Linked DNA regions of Daphnia pulex. The protein of the gene in region 2 binds, or shares a complex with, the protein of the main gene of each other region. Links are inferred from orthologs where the notes say so. Each region holds a gene or a part of one and is shown on either strand. Other genes may lie near its edges.

Evidence for each region.
Region 1: DNA replication complex GINS protein SLD5-like (region 2) and DNA replication licensing factor MCM4-like share a complex: the UniProt entries of both Homo sapiens proteins name them as parts of the CMG helicase complex. The link is inferred for Daphnia pulex from reciprocal best matches to the Homo sapiens genes GINS4 and MCM4.

What each region holds. Positions count from the first base shown.
Region 1 is NC_060020.1:7,895,009-7,898,770, forward strand, and holds the start of DNA replication licensing factor MCM4-like, read right to left. Parts: upstream 2,809-3,762; 5' UTR 2,662-2,808; coding exon 2,595-2,661; intron 2,526-2,594; coding exon 2,433-2,525; intron 2,368-2,432; coding exon 2,204-2,367; intron 2,150-2,203; coding exon 1,952-2,149; intron 1,891-1,951; coding exon 1,656-1,890; intron 1,596-1,655; coding exon 1,353-1,595; intron 1,270-1,352; coding exon 1,038-1,269; intron 972-1,037; coding exon 512-971; intron 453-511; coding exon 292-452; intron 228-291; coding exon 110-227; intron 48-109; coding exon 1-47. Other genes in the region: uncharacterized protein LOC124192073, read left to right, coding at 3,651-3,762. UniProt on the Homo sapiens protein: Acts as a component of the MCM2-7 complex (MCM complex) which is the replicative helicase essential for 'once per cell cycle' DNA replication initiation and elongation in eukaryotic cells.
Region 2 is NC_060022.1:2,233,954-2,237,388, reverse strand, and holds DNA replication complex GINS protein SLD5-like, read right to left. Parts: upstream 2,224-3,435; 5' UTR 1,689-2,223; coding exon 1,566-1,688; intron 1,494-1,565; coding exon 1,347-1,493; intron 1,280-1,346; coding exon 1,128-1,279; intron 1,064-1,127; coding exon 890-1,063; intron 818-889; coding exon 718-817; 3' UTR 646-717; downstream 1-645. Other genes in the region: ras-related protein Rab-4B-like, read right to left, coding at 182-262, 368-383; tau-tubulin kinase homolog Asator-like, read left to right, coding at 3,267-3,382. UniProt on the Homo sapiens protein: Required for correct functioning of the GINS complex, a complex that plays an essential role in the initiation of DNA replication, and progression of DNA replication forks.

The DNA.
Region 1 (3,762 bases), on a different chromosome or scaffold from region 2:
ACATGCTCTTTACCATAAGCCATATAATCGCGTAAGACATCGAGTTCCTAAAGGTTGCGTAAATTTAATAATAGATTTGATCGTAAATATCGAAGAAATGGCAACATACCATGAAATCCGTTTCATTTTCTTCAGCTACACTGTAATACAAAGAAACTAAATGACGAGCAAGGCGTTTGTCATAAAGTTCGTCTTGAGGATCCAACATCAAAAAAATCAAGTCGAACCTTGTTTTAACCAATAAAATTTTATGATGACAATGAAATGGTATATCCAGATGAATGGTACTACCTTGACAATAATGTATGAGGCAGTTCAATGTTCTCGATGATGGTTTTGTCTTTGTTCCACTGAGATTCGATTGGATTTGCTCCGGCCAAGATCGATGTACGAGCATTTAGCTGACAGATGATACCAGCTTTAGCAATGCTCAACGTTTGTTGTTCCATTACCTATACAAATATATATAAATTAACGCTGAATCCACTAATAACTAGAATGAACTTTATACTTCATGAAGAATGCTGCGAGTGGCGTCGGACATTTTATCGAATTCGTCAATGCAACAGATACCATTATCTGCCAGAACGAGAGCACCAGTTTGAAGGACAAGCTGCTTGGTTTCAGGGTCTTTTGTCACATACGCAGTGAGACCAACAGCCGAACTTCCTTTGCCAGAGGTATATTGTGATCGTGGGACCAAATTAAAGATGTACTGCAGCAACTGAGACTTGCTAGTACCAGGATCACCACAAAGAAGGATGTTTATTTCCGAGCGAAAACCTCCACGACCAACTTCCGTGAAATCTTTTTTGGTGCCACCGAAGAGTTGAAGGAGAATTCCTTTTTTGATATCTTCATTCTCGTAAATGGATGGAGCGATGGCTCGAGCCAAACGTTCATAAATATCTGGTTTCTTGGAAAGTTCGTGAAGTAATGCTTCGCGTTCAGCAGAAAAACGCGTTTCTTTCCTAAAATGAATTAAACAATAATTATCGATAAAAGATACATGTTACACAAAATATATAAATAAATACCCTCGTTCGGTTTGATTTCGAAGGCGATGGACATCGATTTTGCGATAATGTACAACGTCAATATGAGTACGATAAACAGATTTGACATTGCTTTGAATTGGGTTTACGCGCAACGAAACAGCACGATAAATTCCGGTCACGGTAACGCGATCGCCCGGCTGAACCTTGTCCACTAAGTCATTGTGAGCAAAGACAAACACGGTGTGAGGTGTCTGACCTGCTGGCATGTCATCTATTTAATCAATAAAATTTCCGTTAAATATTTTTAAAAAATTGAAAATATTGCAAAATAGTGATCAGCAAATCTATCTCTACCTGGTGACTCTTGAAGTTTAACCATCTGACGATCGGAAAATTGTGATCTATTGTGAATGATGGAAAAGGAATGCCCTGTGTTGCACATGGCACAAAGAGTTGGTTCCAAAATTCGTCCACGATCAACTTCAACAGAAGCCGTGTTGCTACATACATTGCAGCGAAAGAATGCTTCACGCATTTCAGGAATGATATTGCTCGTGCGAATAACCATACCACTAATAGTGATTAACTGATCAATATCTAAAAGGGTAAAAATATTATAGGTTTTTTTTCTTTCTTGAACCGGTAGAACAGAAATACCTTCAGGATTTAGAGCACGCATGTTCTTGGTTTTGTCGGCACAAAAGGGCCTGACTTGAATTTGATGAGGCAGGATGACATCTGGGTATTTCTCAAAAAACATTTCATTTACAGTCATATCTAACGTCGGGATAACCTCTTGTGGATAGCAGATCAATTGACGATAAAGGTCAGCGTCAAAGGCCTTCAAGTGTGAACAATTCAGATTCAAGAATGGATCTTCCAAATCAGCAATCTAAAAGAAAGATTTTATAATAATAAAGAAATATTTTGTGGGATTAGGAATCAGTTCTTACCTGTTGCAGTTCTTGAAGGTAGTAAGGTTCATTGACATTCATGTTTTCCCCTAAATCCTCTTCATCACTTTGCAAAAATTGGTTGATGAAGCGACAGAATTTAGTTTTACATTGAGACACAACCACATCAGTTCCCCAAATGACCAACTGTGGCCCTCCTGATTCTGCTTGCTCCTTGATTGGGGTCAAATTTCCCTGCTAAAATTTGGATTAGCACATTGAAACAATAAGAACTAGTTAAAAAAGTAATACTTCATTAGCTCCCAAATTGACTTGGCGGACTTTCCTATCAGAACGAACATCAGGACGTTGATGTAGAGGGGTCCCTCTTGCCCCAGAGCGAGGAGTTCTCAAAGATGAAATTGAACTTGGAGTTCCATAATTGAGAGGAGAGTTTAAATCCAATTCACTAATAGCTGGAAATAATACAGAACTGAAGATGACCCTGTTGCTATTTTAAAATACAAGTATATTCACATACCTCCTCCAGGACTCATTCCAATATCCATATCATTATCACCATGATGAGATGGAGTGGAAGGCAAAGGAGCAACATCAGAAATATCCGACATCGCTAGATTCAATGTGAAATGTTTGAAATCGAGGTTTCAATAATCATAAATTATTTAGGTAATTTTATTACCTCCTGCAGAACGACGTCGAGATCTTGAAGTACGGCTACTAGCATGACTTTTTGCTGGACTTGCCATTTTTCATCAAGGGTAAAATCTTATTCAAATTGAAGAAAGACAATAACACGACAATGATATTTGATACACGAATCTGAACTATCGGAACGATAACGGGTCTTGGGCAGTTGGGCTTGACCGCTTGAGACTTACAGAAAACAGAGAAAGGCTTCGCGGCAAAATGTTTGGAGGAGGAGGAGTCGTACCTAAATTGTTGCCAGGTAACATCGGTTACTTTAATTTTACTACAACACTTGATAGGAACGGATATAAAACACTTAATTATAATTTTTCATTTTAAAAAACAGAATTTATAAATTTTAACAACTTTTTAAATCAATAAATGATTAAAATAATACGATTGACATATTTGCCGCCAGGTGGGCCTAAACAACATGGAGTCCAAGGTCTCAGACGTCAAAACGCCCAGCGTGATTTGTATATAAATGAATTATAAAGTGCTTTGAAGCTAAATTGATTGCTCAAAAGGTATTTATGGTGTGAAATTTCATTGTGTTTGATTCAGTTCTAATTATCTGGAATCCTAGAGATCCTACGATTGCTCATGTCATCTACGTGGTTTGTGACCTGTGCGTGCATCAAAATTCTTACCCTGAGCTGTGAAAAGTAAGGATCAAATAGCCAAAGTTATCTCTAATACAATTTGAAACAAGTGATTCAAAGGAAATTGATACAAGTAGTCACAGCTGAAAAATGTTGTATTTTGAGTATTAACACAATGTAAAAGCATCCAACTGACAGCTGTAGTGCAGTGCTATTCCATTGTTTGGCTTGTCCAGTACTTGTTAACAGTTTTCTTAGTTTATGGTTTAAGCAATTTTGGTTTATTTTTATTAAGACTTTTGAAGTTTGCAGTAAAGATTTCATGTAGAGGTGATTAAATATGATATGTGAAGTTCATTCATAGTTTAAGAATCATAGTTAGTTACCAATAATATTTATTTTATTTTTTTCAGAATACCCTTCATTGGAGAACTCATTTGGCCATCATGACTCAAGAATTTCTACCTTTGTGTGATGTGTTGTTCAACATCATTTCGATGGCGTCGTATTTTTGCGACGTCGTTTTCGATGTCATCACTGCTTACACTTTATACCAAC
Region 2 (3,435 bases):
TTATGTTGTTGCAAAAAAAAGTCCTGTTAGACAAGCTGTAAAAGCAACTGCAAATTTACAGTACGAAACGAACAATCTACCTTTCATATACAAGACAATTTCATTTGTTGTGTAACTATCTACAAACTATCTACACATTTGAAATTTTACAATACAAAAAAAAAATAAAAGCATGGCTTACATTTTTTCTCAATGAAATGGTGTAATAAGCAGGATTTTCCTGTGCCTGCACTGCCAATGACAAGAAATTTGAAAAGGAATTCTGAATAAGATAAAAGTAGAATTGATTAGCATTGTGAATTTTTGAACAATAAAAAAATGGGTTGACGTTTGTCTAATGAACAACAAGTAAACAAGAAAATACTACCGAAATTTTCAGCCATCCTTGGGCATACAATTACGGAGAAAGGCTATATTATCAATAAACCGATGTAAAGGGTCTCAGTCTCAAGTATCAGTAAGAAACTGTCAAAACCAGAAATCAACTAACAGGATGTAGCTTTGTGATTGCAAGGAAAGTGATTGGCTATATGAGTTCATGAAGTCTAACAAGTTAGTTAGCAGACGTTTTTTCTCGGCTCAAAAAACAACTTGGTCATTAGCGCCACCTTTTGTATGTTGTATTCAATAGAAAATAAATTAATTTTTTGTAAATTTACCTGTATTCCTGAAGAAATTTTACATAAAAGTTTTACAAAAAGTGTAGCTTTAATTAAATTACAACAAATTGACCGTATTATTTTGCAACAAGCTTGAAATTGATCTATACGGAAGTAAATGTTGAGAATTCATCAGCAGTTCCACTTCTATTTCACCCCTGATAAAATCAAATAAGAATTTTGAATACAATGTGAAGAAAAAATTATTTGAATTCAATATAAACACTTACTCGCTAGTGCCATCGCTCACAAGAACTGAGGGGGCATCATCCTTAACGCATACGAAAACGTAGCTATCTCGGTTTGGAGTTGTAATGAATTTTTGGGTGTTGATTTCTCTCATGTTTGTAGGCATGTGTCTGAGTCCAAGAGTTTTTAGGTGGGTTTCTGTGTTGGAGTTTAGTCTGTCAAAAAACAAACAATATGGTTGTTAGAGGAACTTAACAAAAATAACTGGTAATACTATACTCTTGTGCAAATTTTAATTCATCTTCTGTAAGCAAACTTGGTTCATTTCGTTGTCTTTTGTTTTCATTGTTCAACAAGTAGCCAAGGAATTTTTCTATTTTCTCCAGACGTATTCTTAGGTATGATGTAACTACATAGCGTATTCTTTCAACCTAACATATGTTTTACAAATATATTAGTAAAGGGGGAAGGGCATAATCTTGATTTAGTAGTTCATACTTCCATTCGATGCAAAGCAAATCGAAAATCTGATTTAGAAATGGCCATCAGATTCTCTTCCATGTTCTTTGTCTGCTCTAAAAGACAGTCAACTAGCTCAGTCTGTGGAGATAATAATTCTGGGGCGAGCATTTCATTGAGCCAGCTCTTGACATACAATAATACAGAGGAATGTCAACATCAAACAGGACATTTTTGGCACGTCTAATCATTCCAAACCTCTTCGAGTTTCTTGACGGCTTCAGAAGCAGATAAGAATTCGGCGTCTTCGGTCTCTGATATAGTATCCGCTGTTCCGAAAAGATCACTTAGTTGCGTTAGATTTCCGGAATAGGAAGCCATTATTATTCTTATTCAATCGTAAACGAAATTTTACCACAAGCCGACTGCTATTTGACAGGAGAGGCCTCACAAAACAACGTTTCCCGCCAAAAACAAAAACATCGTTGCATGACTCGGCTAATGAAGCCAGAGCTCAAATGTTCTATTTTTTCCTTGGATTATTGTTCCGTTCTAAACGGGTTTGTTCTTCAAACATTTGCAAAGCAAACCTGGCCCTCTTTGAAAAAATATATCAGTTTAAGCTAAGCGTGTCAATCGACAACAAACAAAACAAGTCGTTTCTGCCATTTGGTTAAGTGCTGGCTCATCGACTTTAAGAATACATTATGCAAATGCAAGCGAGCGGAAACCATGTATATTTTTAGTTACATCTTATATTCTAAGAAAAGATGTTGTGATTTGGCCAAGTTTGTACCGGGCGGACGGTAGTGCCTTAAGGTAGAGCAAGGTAAACAATAGTAAGGCAAACCATCACGGTATACTCGACATTTTGTTCAACTTGAATTTTTTTGCGTTGGCGTTTCGCATTTCCTTCAACTCCTGTTCCATCACAGTTATCGGTGGAATTGGACGGCGAAAAAAGAGAGAACGTTAAAAATGAGGACAAGATTTCGAAATCGAAAGAAGATGGTTTGTTCCTACGTGGCATCCGTGTTCGCGAATACGCAACATCCTTGTAAAAATAAGCAATCTAGTGCTATTATTAGATTACGAAATGTACAGAGATCGCACGACGAGTATTTATTATTTACAAGAAAAGACATCCCTTTTGCGTGGTCTGCTGTACAAACCGTAGGTATATGTACGTATAATTACGTATCTGGCGGCAGGTGGTTAACTAAACAGAGCGGACGTTGAGTGACGAACTGCACATGGACCGTTTCCAGACGATCATTGAAATTGCTGCACTCGGGTCTAAATAAAACCGTCACATAAGGAACTCTAGTTTTCATTTACGCCAACTGTAGCACAAAATGCTACAGTAAGAGAATTAAGGGGTAGTAGTATAGACGGAGAAAACAAAACAAGCTTTTCGGGTTGTCGTGACGTGTTGAGCGCCAAGAAAAAACTAAAAAGAACTAGCGAGGCCGTATTCAAGAGACCGGCTCAAGCATAGCGGGCGTTCAGTCTGTAAGGATCTGGCTAGCGGAGCTGGCTCGATCACTTAAAGCTCCTTCTTTTAGTCCACGAGCAATAAAAACTGCATATCGTTTCGAAAAGCAAAGTTCCGCAGTTCGCACAGTGTGGGGGAATCGACGTCGATTTCTTATTGGGAATATCAACAGCTAGCTACCACAACACATTTATTATCGAGAGGTGAAAACAAAAAAGAAAGTCGATTTCCGGAGTGCGCGCGCTGGCGAATTACATTCAATCTCCTTGTCGCCCGCAAGCAGCCGATATGCGCTGGGAGATAATGCAGTGGTAAATCACAAAATTTTTATCTTCAATATTTTATTTAATTGCTTTTGGTCAGTTCCCATTCACGGAAACAGCTCAAAAAGTCGTTGACCGGATTTCGTATGAAATTATAAATCGATTTAGACTACATATCGATAGCTTAGCATCATCGATTTTATGCGTTACCCAACCCCTTCCAACAAATTTTGTTTCGTCTGCTCTGCTCAGCCGCAGTCCGAATGTGTCGACAAATATGGCGTTCAACTGTTCTATAGATTTCTGCCAAACTACTGGTAAGAAAAGCTGAAATAGATTTGTTTTGGCTAACTAATAAGGTTTTCTTTTC